Linked DNA regions of Tamandua tetradactyla. The protein of the gene in region 2 interacts with the protein of the main gene of each other region in a biochemical or structural test. Links are inferred from orthologs where the notes say so. Each region holds a gene or a part of one and is shown on either strand. Other genes may lie near its edges.

The links.
Region 1: the proteins of SNTB1 (region 2) and SLC16A7 interact in a test that uses a peptide from one of them, tested with the Homo sapiens proteins (2 studies listed by IntAct, with this or other methods). The link is inferred for Tamandua tetradactyla from reciprocal best matches to the Homo sapiens genes SNTB1 and SLC16A7.

The regions. Positions count from the first base shown.
Region 1 is NC_135333.1:127,021,634-127,028,636, reverse strand, and holds the start of SLC16A7 (monocarboxylate transporter 2), read right to left. Parts: upstream 3,008-7,003; 5' UTR 2,850-3,007; intron 2,279-2,849; exon of another isoform or gene 2,206-2,278; intron 221-2,205; exon of another isoform or gene 149-220; intron 1-148. Other genes in the region: uncharacterized protein LOC143642624, read left to right, coding at 3,133-3,339. UniProt on the Homo sapiens protein: Proton-coupled monocarboxylate symporter. Catalyzes the rapid transport across the plasma membrane of monocarboxylates such as L-lactate, pyruvate and ketone bodies, acetoacetate, beta-hydroxybutyrate and acetate.
Region 2 is NC_135332.1:165,260,576-165,268,365, forward strand, and holds the start of SNTB1 (beta-1-syntrophin), read right to left. Parts: upstream 3,031-7,790; 5' UTR 2,916-3,030; intron 2,742-2,915; 5' UTR 2,514-2,741; coding exon 1,943-2,513; intron 1-1,942. UniProt on the Homo sapiens protein: Adapter protein that binds to and probably organizes the subcellular localization of a variety of membrane proteins. May link various receptors to the actin cytoskeleton and the dystrophin glycoprotein complex.

The sequences.
Region 1 (7,003 bases), on a different chromosome or scaffold from region 2:
TCACCAGGTTTAACCCTTCTTCTGTAAATGGAGGCACTTCAGCCCTAGCTCATAAGGTTGATATGGGGATTAAAGAAGTTAATACAGGAAAGTGGTAGCATAGTGCTTCAAGAGCTTTATAGACTTGTAGTTATTATAGTTACCATACTTTTGGGCTTATAGGAGTAAGTGGATTAGCCCGTCCAAAGAGTAGAAGAAACTGCAGCTCGATTTCTTCTCTCTCAAAAAAAAAGAAAAAGGCAGGGAGTCAGTTTATTGTCAAAGGTCCTCTTCAGAGAACATCTTTCCTCCCTATTAAGGAGAAAATCATCCATAGTCTGTTTATACAGGTCACCCTCAAATGGTAAAAGAAGGGCTCAATACATGGGTTTCTGAGGCAAGGGACAACCCTTCTCAAATTAGCTTTTAAATACATTATAACCTGCAAATATTTCTTTAAACTGTTTAATCTCTTCCAAGGTTATTTGGGATATATTACTTGTCTATTGGGAAAAGAGGGTTATTAACCTGGACGACTGCATGTGAATTTCATGGGAAAAGATTTCCAACTTCATTCATCTTGGTAACACCAGGGCAGTGTCTAGAACCACTGTAGGGACTCAAAAATAACTGGTCTATACTCCAGGTGTTCATATTTTTTATCCTTCACAATAGCACTGCAAGGTAGGTACCACCCATTGCATTTTATGGATAACCATTTGCCCAAAGAGGCAAATTTTGAAGTAGCTACTCAACCTTACAAAAGCACAGAACAGAGCTTGAAGTCTAGGTTAAATTAATTATCCTTTTCATGTAAATGTCTCAAAAATTTTGGTGAATGAATGCAGAATTTAAAGTAACTCAGGAGACTTCTTGATATTTCGAATCCATAATGGAAGAATATGACTCCAGACAGAAATTATTTCCTTAGGTCAGTTTTCCCCCTTTCCCTTCAGGAGGGGCTGAAGGCAAATACATAAACCCACTTTTAATAGCGGTAGAGTAAATGCTTCCCTAGAAATAACAGAAACAAATGGAAGACTTATACGTGGAGACACTAATGTAGACAATGGGAAACAGATGTTAAAAATTTTAGACCACTTTCCATTATTAAAATGCTCCCTGGAAAAAAAAAGTAGTACATAATTGAAAACTATCGCTGTGAATATTTACAAAGAGGAATTTCTGACTTTCTGAGTTGTTACACAATACACTGGGTTGCTTAAGGTAGTAATATTTTTCCTGAGTTTATTCACTTAAGACTGGCCTTAATGTAATGTTAACGTGCTCAGAGGGAGACAGTTGAGCCAGGATTGCTTCACCAAGGCTAAATAAGGGTCACCCTGTTCAACCCTCAACTGCCCTCTGATTTTTCAATTACACTTCCCCAAATGCACACTTAGGAGTGGCCGTTCCAATCAAGCTACCTGTCTGTTAAAAGTTCAGGGCTCTCATTTGGGTTTAGCCTGGTAGCGCCAGAGAAGGGAATCTAGTGCCTCCCGTTTCCTCCTACCCAATCCTTTTCACCTTGCCTGGATCATTTGTGGCGATTTCTGCTGCGTCTCCTATGGGAACCGAGAAGGAAGGAAGACACGCAGTATTAACTTTTCTAGTGCCACTAGCCTGCCCTCACTCAACCCAACCCAAACCCACTTCTTCAGGAAGGAGCGTTAGACACTTGCAGAGAAACCGCTCCTCCTATCCTCTTGTGAGTGCATGTGTGTTTAATTTTAATTCCCGTGGAGTGAAACCACAAAATTCCCTCCCTGGTACTACCGAGAAAGTGGCCTTGACCACGACTGCCCCTGCCAAGACAACTTGTAATCCCTTTCACGGAAACAGGGGAGAAAAAAGGGTGGAAACGGCAGCAGACGGGCGGCAAACGCTGAGGGTTGAGCGGGTTCGCACGTGAGAGGCCTCCCGGTCTCCCGCACCACCTGGCCGGGCCGGCGCCCACCAGCCCCCAGCGCCGCACTACGGAAGCTCCGCGTGGGTCTCAGGGGCTAACGCTTTCCTCAGTCCCAGCCAAGTCAGTTCCCCCGCTGCCCGGGAGCCTCTACGCGCGCGCGCGCGCACACACACACACACACACACACACACACACACACACACATCTCCGTCAGCGTTCCCCCGCTGCCCGGGAGCCCTCTACACACACACACACACGCACACCTCCGTCAGCGTTCCCCCGCTGCCCGGGAGCCCTTTACACACACACACGCACACCTCCGTCCGCCAACGGCCCTGCCATGCTTCTCGGGGACCGACCCTGGGGTCTCGTCTCCTGCTCCCAGCCTCTCGGAACCTCAATCATCCGCGGCTCTGCTGAAAAATAAGCCTCCCCCAGCCAACACTCTCGCCGCCACCCCGCCCCCACCTCTGCCGCAACGACGCCAGGTTGCCAGCAGGTCCAGGATGCTCGAGAGGCACGCGCCACGGAAACACCGGGCAGGAACTAGCCCCGGGAATCTCGTAGGCAAAGACGGGGTGGTCCCGCCCCGGCAAATTATCTGGGAACAAACTGGGAGCGCGGGAGCACCTCCTGGCCGAGGAGGCACGCCCGGGACCCTTGGAGCCCGCCGTTCCAAAGCGCGCGCCCCGCGCCCGGCGGACCCCGCGCTCTTCTCCATTGCAGCGTCGGGGTTTTTTTTGTTGTTGTTGTTGTTGTTTTGCTTTGGTTTGGGTTTGGGTTTTTTGTTCTTTTTGTCTATATAAGGACTAGCCAGCAGACTACGTTGGCGCATTTGTCACAGGCTGGCCGTTGCGGGTCCTCCGGCAACTCCGACAGCAGACGCTCGCTCGTCTTCCTCACCGCGGGCACCTCCTGCACCAATTCCTATCCCCTCCCTCCCGGGGTGTTATTACTTTACCTAATCTCTGGCACAGGGTGGGCGCTGTAGCTGTCCGTTCCCACCCGGCTGCAGCCGGCTCGTCTCGCTGCCACCGGGTGAATGGAATTATTTATTTATTTATGTCCCTTGACGTGTCCTCGCCCTCCGCAGCCGGAGAGGAGTAGGCGGCGGGGAGGGGTGGTGCGGCTGATGAACGCCCTTGTGGGTGCCCGGGAGCGCGCGCCGGGGGGAAGCGGGGCGGGGCAGGGGCGAGCGTCTCCGGCTCTGCTGCGGCCCAGCGGGCGGCCCGCGCGGGTGGCGGATGGGGGAAAGGGGGGCTGGTGCACCGTCGCCGCCGGGTGACTCCAGACCGACTGAGCATGCTCTGAGAGGCTGTCAGCGCGATTGCGGCGACTTTCCTGTGGCTCCCGGCGCCCGACTTCTGATTTTAGTTGTGACCAAGAGAAAAAGCCAAAAGGCAGATAGAAAGATCTGTTGTTCCAGATCGGTCACCACACGTTTGTCCAAGGTACTTTGGCGTCTAACCTAGGAACCAGGTGTGCGGTGGCTCTGTTTAGATACCCTAAGGAGATACTTAACCTGTAGGAGAGGAAAGCATGCAAAATGAGGGGAGCCTGGCAGAATACAGGGCCTCTAGAAGTTCCTCATGGTGAACTTGGGGAGAAAGCGTTGGGCCATTTTATAACTAAAGCCTTTGGAGGGAAAGGGGTTGGGGATTATTTCACCAAACAAATCACTAAAGGGGGGGGGGGGGTAGTTAACACCATGGGGGGATGGGTATAGGAAACAGCACATGGAGAACTTGAAAATAAGAAAGAAATGGATAAAAGTCATTTATAAATCCTTCCTTTCATTGAGTAACTGCAGATTGGGACCTTTATGTATCTATGTTTAAATTGTTATTTAGAGAAAAAGAAACTGTCCAGAGGAATAAACGTGGATTTGGATTCGAGAACTGTTACTGCAGTTTGTCTACCAAATAGCTGGCATTTCCCCATGTTCTTGTTCTTAAAAAAAAGCAAAAAAGATTAAATGCTGTGTCAATCCTAGATAATACAACTTCCCAAAAACTTTTTTTTTAATCTAGGGGTTAAATCATTTATAAGAAGCCAAGATTATTTAATGGAAATGACCTGAGCTTTGAAACCCGAGGGACTCAGATTCGAAACGGTAATAATAGTAGTGGTAATATTAATAAAATTTATTAAGTTCTTATATTGTCAAGCACTATTCTAAGCACATGCATTGATTATCTCAGTTAATACCCACACTAACCCTTTTAGATACTACTATGAGGATTCACATTTTACAAACTTGGAAACAAATATAGAGAAGTTAAGTTATCCAGCCACATTCATAATTAGTGTCTTAAGTACACCACAGCCAGCCTGTATGCCTGAACGAAATTTGAATTTTACCTTCTGTAGCTAAATTAGAAATATCACCTTTTCAGTGCTGTCGTACAATTTACAAGAGATGATGTGTGCAAATTGTCTGGCACATAAAAGGAGATGAATAAATGATGGCTATTAATAATTTCAGAAACTTTGAGAGAGTTTTAAAGAAAGAAGCAATTTAGAAACTAAAGCACAAAGGCAAAAAAGTTCTAGAAAATCTTGTAAATTTTTAAAAGCTAAAAAATGGATAAGTAGGCATTTGTATAAGGCATAATAGTCATTTGATAATTATAGCAATGACTATAAGCATTGCATTTGTATTACCCCCCCAAAAAAGAATATTAAGTAATACTTAAACTTGGGAGGAAAGCAGTGTAAAAACTACATATTTCAAGGTCATGTTCTCAAGCATTTGTTATTTACCTTTTTCCTGTCCCCTCACCACATTTATTTCTTTTTAAAGAAGAGGAAGAAGAAAGACCATTCATTTCCTGAATTTTGACCCTATGCTCCATTTTCCTTCTCTGATTTTTTCTTTATTGGCCATGATTCTTGGCTTATTTAATCCAGCTCCCAAACACCACTATTCATACCATAATATCATAACCTTTGTTGTTGTTGTAAGTCTTGTTTTTCAAACAATTAAAATCTTAATCCAATTATCTACTGCCTTAAAGTTAGTATTTGGGGACTCGTTTCTAAATCACCTTGATGCTTTAACTAGACATGCTAAATAAATATTTCCCTGGAACAGAAAGGAATCTGAAGAATTAGGTGTAAAAAATCCAGTTTATCCTATGAAATGTAGTCTTAATATTGTTTGGAAATTGAGAAAAAATACAATTTGAGGAAAAAGCAAACAATTTGATTAGAATTTGGAATGCTCTGGTAAAAATTTTTCCTTGATTTCTAACCCATAAAATGAAATAACTTTGGGGAAAACAAAGTAGAGCGATATACTCAGTATTCTAGTGTCTCATGCTCCACCAATGAATAAGCCAGTAAATACGTATGTAGTATATAAACTAATAAGTAATAACCAAACTTGTGGCCCTGTTTTGGTCACTGACTCATCTGTCACTTTATACCCACAGATTCATAATCCAGGTTCCTATTCTCTCTTCATTCTTCTCCATAGCATGTTTCTTTTCTCATTCCCCCCTCTGTCCTCCATATCAAACTTGTCTGAACTTCCATTAAGGCCCAGCTATGCTGTCACTTCTGTAGCATTTCAAGGATTTCTTCAATAAGAATTAATCCCATCTTCCTTTCTACTCCTGCAAATAGAACATGATTTATGACTCTATTCAGGGCATTTCCTCTCTGTCTCACATTATAGTTTTATTATAATATTATTTTATGTAACTGTCTCCCCAGTCTCTTAGGCTATTTGAGGTTAAAGATGACATTTCTGACCTGTATCCACCAGCACCCAGCACAATTTCTTCCAAAAAGAAGGTAATCAATAATGTATGCTGAATGAAGGAAAAAGATGATAGTGTGACCTTAGGCAATAGATATATGGCACGAATTGTCAGTTCTCATAATATCCATAATCTGCCACTCTATATTTCCATTGCAGTTACATTGGGGGCATATGACTAATTCTACCTAATTATGAATAATGGTGGCAGATGTCATCTCTGGGCAAAGGCAATTAAGAGCCAGTGTGCCTCCTTCATTCCTCCCTTTCCCTGCCAGGGTACCCTTGGTGGTCACACGTTTCAGATGGAGTAGCTACAAGACGAGTCCCTAAAAGTTTAAAGAAAGAGAAAAAAGACCACTTGACTTGTACTGGGCTTTGTGTAAGCAAGAAACCATTATTGTCTTAACAAGATTTCGTGCTTTATTTGTCACCAGGGCATAGCCTAGTCTATTCTAACCAATATAAGGTGTTGCTTAATAAGATTATAAATCATAAAGGCATAAAGACCCAAAGAGATATTTGGAGTTTATGAAAATACACTGTGTTCTTAAGCCAAGCCTAAAATATATATTCTGACCACCAAAAATTGATGTAACAGTTTTCTCATGGCAAGACTCTGTTGGACCAAAGTAGGTTTGCGTGTAATGTATGTGCGTAGAACATACACGATAGGTTGGTTTTAATTAAGGATGCAAAATCAAATGTCTCAATAGAATATTGAGAATATATTCTATATTCTAATAGAGTTCCTCAACTTGAGTGAAAACCAACCTGTACCTGCCATCCAGTGACAACCTTCTGTGCCCAAGATTTTAGCTGGCTAGCAGCTGTGAATACAGTTGTTGTGGCTTGGTTTCATAGACAGTACAAAGTATAAAATAACTCTTTCTATTGCTTCTAGATTTATATTTTAAGTTATATAGGTTACATTGAAAATTTCTTTTATGGAAGCCTCCCATAAAAGGAGAATGCAAATCTAGTCTGAGTTTACAAATGATAAGAAAAGGAAAACAATCATATTGTACATTGCTGTATGGTGTGGCTTTCAATAACAATAGAATATCATAGATAGGCTTTTTATCAAAATAAATGATTTTGGGGTCTCAGCAAATCTGTTCATGGAATCTGTATTAAAAGTACTGTCCATTGGTGTTTTTTTAATTTTACATTTTAATATTCACCATAAAATAGGCTTAATGGAACCTAATAAGTATTGTATTGATGCCTTCATCTGACTATTCTAGTAATTCCAAAATCATAAAATTAGAAAATTGGATTAAAAACTTTAATCATAAATCGTGAACTTAATACAGGGATCTTATAAACAGTGGCTTATAAATATTTCATCC
Region 2 (7,790 bases):
TAATACTACTACACTGAGTCAGCCACGCTCAGGAAGTCCACAGGTTGTTCCAAGAGGTCCTTCCACAAGACACGATGTTCTTAAGAACATCATGTGAGAGTTACCCCACAGCCCACTTTTCAGTTACAGTCTCAACAGTCTCAACTGCTGGAATTCTTTCCTTTACCTAAGATTTTCAAATGCAGGGAACCACCTTTTCTTTTCAAAGGGTGAGAGAGATTTGTTTTTACCTCTTTACCAAGTCACTATTCATTAAACTGAAACCAAAGAAAGGAAGAAAGGAAGGGATATAATAAAGGACGGTGCCTGAAGTAAAAATGCCCTCCATTTGTCCACCCCTCCCTACCCCCTGATATTTTATAGTAAGTACTGCAAGCTGATCAGGTTTCCAGGAGTTTATAGTCCAAACTACACTTGCTTCAGATCCCACCTGCCACTCGCCACACAAACCAACACACACTCGAATCAAGGAAATATTTTTCTGTTTACTTATGGTAATCATTAGGCCAAAGCAAAGAGCCTTCCACTTTTTGGATCCAGGCTGGTGATTAACTATGAAGACAATACAGAGCCTGTATACAAGTAAGGAGGAAAAACAGTAACAAAAGCAAAATAAGCTCTTTGCATTCTAGGCCAGGTAACGAAGCTGCTTTCCCAACTCGGAACATTCTCAGTTCCACACCCCAGCACCCCATCTAGAAAACTGATCTAAGCCTTGAGTTAAGATTTAAATCAACCGCCAGTTTCTGAGGTCTCAACTTGAAACACTCTGTTTTAATGGCTACGGGTTCATTTATTCATTCATTCACTCACAACACATGTGATTGAGCTTGTACACTCAAGCGTGACCCACATCTGAATAAAAATTCAGGAAACGTGATCTAGAGTTAGGAGAAAGCTAGGTAAATAGACAAAAATAATTACACAAAATCAGTGCTGATAGCCACAAGCACCAAGTGCTAAAGTACAGACAGGCAGTCATCAAATGAAAAATACAATGGAAAGGCCACTGCATTATGGGTTTCATACCTACTGCCCTTCTCCACCACACAACCCCATACATATACACAAACGGGTACAGCAGTTACTCCTATTCTATTCACATCCAATAATTAGTGGATTGACACACCCCATCCCAGGAAAGTGGGTTCAAAGGCGCTACACATGCATGGGAAACTATTTGCAAATGCACAGTTGTTTCCACATCTTTCCAAAAAAGCCACGGAAAGAGAGGGGCAGAAAAACCACCTCACCCATCCCTCACACCCAGAGCAATCCGGAATCCAGACAGATCCCTCAGACATCGGGCAGAAGTGAACTTTCGCAAAAAAAAAAAAACACCTGCAGCCAATTTCCCAGCCCTTGGCACAACTTTCCGGGCATAAACGCGCTCTCCCAATTTGCAGAGGCGAAGAGAGGCGCTTAGAATTTTAGCATCCACACATTGCCACCTCTCTCTGCCCCTTTATGATTCAACCCATTTCTGCTGGTTTACCGGGCTTCTGAGAGGGAAATGCTGCCAAAGCGGAAAACTCTACGAGTTGCAATTACCCGGTGGGCCCGCTTCGCAACCGCGACGGGTGAGTATCTCTAAGCCTACCGTTCACTTCCCGTTCAGCTCCTCAGTCCCTACGCTACACGCACACTATCTGCAGATAAAATGAGACAACGTGCACCAAGCACCGGGCCCGGTGCTTGGCACACAGTAGGAGCTCGCTAATCCTACTCATCTGGCCTCCGGTCCAACACCTTTCCTGGGTCAAGGCCTGTAAAGACTCCAGGGGCGGAGAGAAGTAGACCCCATGTGGGTAAAAGTTGTCGCAACTCCCCGCCACCCCACCTCCCCGGACACCTGCAGCACGATGGCACGTGCGGGGGTGCGAGTGCGCGAGTGGGAGCAGCAGTGGGTGTGGGCGCGTCCGGTGCGGCGTTAACCCCTTACCTTCCAGCAGCACCTCCTTGCCCGCGCGCTTCAGCGCCTGCACGGCCTCGTCGTGGGTGGCGTCCCGCAGGTCGGCTCCGTTCACAGACAGGATGGCGTCGCCCACGTACAGGGCTTGGGTCTGGTCCGCCGCCAGCCCCTTGAAGATCTTGCTGATGAGGATGGGCATCTTGTTCTCCTTGCCCCCCTTGATGCTGATGCCCAGCCCGCCCAGCTCCTGCTTCAGCACCTTCACGCCGCGCTTCTGGTTGGAGATGGACTCGGGCACCTGCTCCGGCAGGTCGGTGAAGGCTGTACGGACGCCGGCGGGCGAGTCCGGGGGCTGCGCGCCGCCTGCGCCCGAGTGCCCGGCCCCGGCGCCCCTGCAGAACGAGCCATTGGTGACGGTCCCGATGCCATTGTACGCCGCAGCGCCCTCCTCGCAACTCAGAACGAGGGCGTCCTCGCTCAAGTTCACCAGAACTTTGTGCCAGCGATCCCGCACCAAAACTTCCAGCAGCCCGCTCCGCTGCGCCCGGCCGCCACCCGCGCCAGCCGGCCCCGCCGCCGCCGCCGCCGCCGCTACCGCCATCTTTCCGGCATTCTTAAAATGCCATGCGATTGCAAAAGGGGGGAAAAGTGGGGAAGGGTTGGCGCGGCAGGGGGACGCGGGGCCCGGGGAAGCGAGGAGAGCGCGCCCCGCAGGGCGGTGGCAGGACGCGGGACTCCACCCCGGGAGTTCGCAGACGCACTCGGCGCGAGTTGGCAGCCGCAGCCCAGCTGGTTCCCCCTCGTCTGCTCCTGGGCGGGGTGGAGCAACCTAAAAGAAGAAGGAGAGACAGAGCCTGGAGGGGGGAGCGGTCAAAAAGCCGGCTGCCAGTTGCAAAACCCCAGACCGAGAGGAGCGGCGGAGCAGCTTAGCGCCTGTGGGAGCCGGTAGAGGAAGGCGCGCTCTCCCGCAAGGGCGAGCACCGACCGCCTGGCGGCCGCTCACCTGTTCCAGCCGCAGCAGCCTCGGCGGTCACACGGCCACACGCCGGCTCGGACCCTCCCCGCCGCGCTGCTCGGAGCGCACGTCGCCGCAGGGACCGCTTCGCCAGCTCCTTCCGGGTCCCGCTCCTCTCCACCCCACACCCCCCCCCCCCCAACCCTCTCTTCTCAACTCTTCCTTCTCCGCGGGCGTCTACACCGCACCCTTGCCGGGTCTGTGCGGACTGCTTGGGCGTCCTCAGTCCTTCCCCGCACCACTGTATCTTAGACTCAGTTCTCCTATCTCTGGCTTTCTCAAACCGAGGTTTCGCTTCCCTGGCTGGGTTCCTACCTGTCTGTCCTCTCCGCAAGGGCTTTCAGGAGGACGGCAGACCCCGACCGAGGCCCTGGGCTCTGGACAGTCAACAGGGTCCCAGCTGTCCCCAGAGCCCAGAAAGAAGCGTCAGCATAACCCGAACTCCCTGAACCTCTTCTTCTCAGATGCGGGACATTTTTTCTGCCAGTCTCCGGTGAGGGGTCACTGGTGGCCCCGTGTCTCCAACAGGTCACTGCCTGCCCTAGAGCCCAGGGACAAATGCTCTCAGCTCTAACACATGATATGCTTTATGCTTCAGATCTAGCTTTTTACCCAGTGCCACACCAAATGCTTCTGGGGCCTTCTCTTTCTTCCCCAGATCCAATACAGGAAGTCCCCCATCTGAAAACTCAGCTAGAATGGGCTGTATCTCAAAAGTCTCTCTACAAGTTACAATGATGGAGCGCAGCCTGCATCTTTCCAAGGTGACAATATTATAATTGTTCTTTACCTTCACTGGCAGTCAGAGAAAGCCAACATAACCCATGTCACAGCCAAACTTCCACCTGAGAGGCCTCAGAATCTTGAGCCTCTAGAGTTCTCCCCAGACATTAGCAGATCTCCTAGGCTTCTCAAAGTATTTCATGCTTCTGTTAGCTCCCCACAGCCTTTACACTCCTTGCTCCAAAAACAGAACAAAGCAAAACTCACATATCTGCAAATTCCTCAAGGTAAACTCAGCTTAACTAGGTGTCGGGAGGAAGGAAATCTTATTGAACACATTCTCACTGACAAGCACCAACGTCATCGAAAGCTCTCTTTCAATAAGTCAGGAAGCTCATCATTTTATTCAAGGATGCTTCCCAACTCTGCTGAACTCTAAAGGCAGAGTCACAGAATGAAATGAAAACGTTTGCATGTTTTTTTTTTTTGAAGGGGTTGGGTAGAGCACTGCAGGCAGGCTGGGAGGAGCCCTTGAATTAATGTATCTGTGTACAGCTCCCTCCTTTCCTATATTTCTTAACCCACTGGTTTTCCACAAGTTCTCTATTCTTCATGCAGGGACAGCAGCCACAGGGGCTCTCCAGGCCTCTGTGCACAGGTTACAAGTTCACCCAGGAACTGATGTAGGCCGTACCTCTGCTTTACAGTCCAGGACATACATCACTGTACATGGAAATCAGAGCCTGAGTTGGCCTTTTGACCCAAACACACTGTAAAGACTCCTTTACTCCTGTAAAGAGGGAGGTAGGGACCAGAATGGCAGTGTGTTGACTTAGAAATCAAGACAGAACTTCCCCAATCCAGAAATCTACTGTCAGCATCATCCAAGCATCCTGTCTCTGTGGTCAGGCAATGTGGGAGACCCAGGCATAACCAGATGTGATTTGTCTATGTGCCATGAGAAATTACAGGCTCTGGGTTGGGAAATTCTCAGGGTCTCTGTGATTAATACTTTTTTCCCCCTGTATAAGCAAACTTATATGGGAGGGAGTAGGTGGCATGTTGAAAGTGACATCAGAATGAGAGGAATCAAGAATTTAATATCATTAGGCCCGAGGCATGTATCTTAGCAAAGATAGCTTTGCCAATGAAACTATAATAGCAGGCCATGTTGTAAGTTCTGACACAAATTAACTTAGGTAATTTTCCCAGCAAGGTACTATTAGCACCAACCCCATTTCATCGGTGAAGAAATGGAGACGCAGAGAGGAATGATAATTTGTCTGGGTCACGTAGCCAGTAAGTGGCAGAATGAATACTAGAATCCAGTCATTCTTTCCAGAGTCTGAACTCTTAACCATCGGCCAGCAATGTCCCTGGAAAGTACTCACAGCCTGTTAGCTACAGCTCCTACGTTCACCTCTCAAGGGGGAAAAAACTCTGGGTCAGGCCCTTCGCGGAGACCTTATGTGGAAGGGCAGAGGTGGGTTTTGCCTGTGGCCTCTCCTTCTCTCTAAGGTTACAGAACCCCCCACCCTTTCCTTATTGGCACATTCTATTTTTCTTTAAACATGCTATTATGTTGAAACTGGTGCTTGTTGTGGTCTCGCCGGCCTAAAAGACTGCCTTATCTCCCAGACAATTCTGCACATATCTGACCTCTGATTGTTAATGTTGACTTTCAAAATGAGACCTTACTTATTTTACACCTTGGTTCTTGGCGGTTCAACCTCACTGTAGAACCCTAATACTTATAATCTGGACAGGTTATACACCCTGCTGTCTCTCCTTTTACAGAGTCATCATTGGAAAGGATGGAAGAGACTTCTAGCTTTCTCATTTTATAGATGAAGCATGTAAAGCTGACAGAGAGGCACCGACTGACCTCTGGAAGCATTTGTGGCAAAGTCAAGTCTAAATCTGGGATGTCCTGACTGGTAGGTCAGGAGAATCGGGAACGGCACTGCAACTGGAGCTGCCAAGGCTGTGTCACCCCTCCCAACATGGCTTCTGGAGCTGCCCCTTCTGGACACCTGACTTCCGGAACTGATGAACCGCCCCTTCTGGACACCTGACTTCTGGAGAACCGCCCCTTCCGGATATCACCTGACCCCTTGCTTAAAAACTGCCCATGCCATCGCCCAGGTGTTGACTCACCTCCCTCCATCTTGGATTTGGTGAGCTCAGCCCCGGAGCGCAGAAATACACCTGCATGCTTTAAATTTCCCGATTTACCTTCCTTCTTTCTCACCCTTTCGCCTCTTAAACCTTTCACTGACTACCAGTTCAATTCAGTATTCCAGAAACTACAGTTGAAACACATCTCCACCCTGTGCTGCTTTTAATTTTTATTTTTACAATTGTGGGTTTTTTTTTTGTTTTTTTTTTACCAGATTTGTTTTGCTTAGCAGCATCCCCTGTTCTGCTTCTGTTTTCTGCCCTAAACCTTTTTTTTTTTATTCGCATGGGCAGGCACTGGGAACCTAACCCAGGTCTCCGGCATGGCAGGGAAGAACTCTGCCAGTGAGCCACCGTGGCCCTGCCCTAAACTTTTGACTTTCCTTTCCCACCCAGCCCAAACCAAGCTCTTTCTATGCATCTTTCCCATGATATGTGCAATTCCCTAAGATATTTGGATGGACTTAAACTCACAAGAGCAGGTTGCACGGCCCTCAGCCAAGGGTACTCAAGAGAGCAGCAGCGTGTGCCAGAAGGAGCGGTGTTTCTGCATTTATTTCAGTTTTATTGCATACCTTCCAGGTGCCAGGCACTGTTCTAGGTACTGGAATATGGGAGCAAGCAAACCATCAAAGACCTGCCCTATGAAGCTTACATTGTAGTGGGTAGGAGAGGGGAGGTGGAGACAGACTGTAAACACCTAAATAAGATACTTCCCTGTAGAGGTACATACCAGGAAGAAAATGAAGTCAGAATAATAGGCTCCAGAGCCACTGGAGGCTAGGGGCTACTGGAGGTGGTGGCTCTTAAAGAAAGCCGTTGTGACAAGGTGACATTTAGACTAAGACCTGAATGATGGGGAGATGGATACCGTGCAAAGATCCAGCAAAGAGGGTTCTAGCAAGAAGAAAAAGCCAGTGCAAAGCTCTTGAAACAGAGCCAAGCTCATTGGTTCAAGGAACCGAAAGGAGGTCAGCATGGCTGGGGCAGTGCTGGGGAAGAGAGAGGTAGGAAAGGAGATTGGAAAGATAGGCTGGGCCAGATCCCATAGGCAGGGCTTGGGAGGGTTACAATGCAGAACATCCTTGTTCCCTTTGAGTTCCAGCAGTTTATGTTTGTGGATTTTCAGGGACAATCCCACGTTTACTATGACTTCCTAATACCACTAAGTAAACCTCTACCAGCCAGAACACAGGCTCCAATATTTAGGTTTGGAAAATATGATCATTGTAATTGTGGTACTGTTTCCTAATGGGTGGTTTGAGCATGTTTAGGGGGACTTTTCAAATAGTCATGTGAAGAGTGAAGAAAAAGAAATAAGAGCTCTTGAATCTCTGGGTGTAAATTAGAGAACAGAGTGAAATAGGAGCAGGAGGGGTGCTTGCAATGCAAAGCTCTTCATTTGAGGCCTGCCCTGTGCAAATACATATTGATTAAATGCTTAGTTCTTGTTAAGAACTAAGGTAGGTGCTGGAGGCAGGCACAGCCAGGGATGCAAAGATGATTAAGAAAGACAGACATGTTCACAAAGAGGTCGGGGGTGGAGGTGGGGGGACATGCTGAGTGTGAAATGAGTGTGGAAGCGGTCAGACTCCAGATTTTAAAGATGAAGCATTGAGACAAGGGGGTGGGGCATGAACAGGAGGCTGAGCAGATTCTGTTTTCTCTGGTGTGCCCTTGTCAACTAACAAGCACATCATCAATTTTAAAAGTCTGGGAAGCATCCTCTATTTGCCACCATTGGGATAGGTCCTTGGTCAACTAGATGGACCATCATCTGAACAGCCAGCCAGCCCGTCTTCAGTTGAGGGAATTTGTTTAATTGCTTACTATGTTTAGAATTTTTTATTTAGTGGAGATTTGGGGGGCTGGGGGGAGCAGATGTGGTGTAAGGCAGAATTGTAAAATAGTGAGATAACTCTTCTGTGTTCTCTTTTTTGAGTTCACACTCTTCATTTCCAT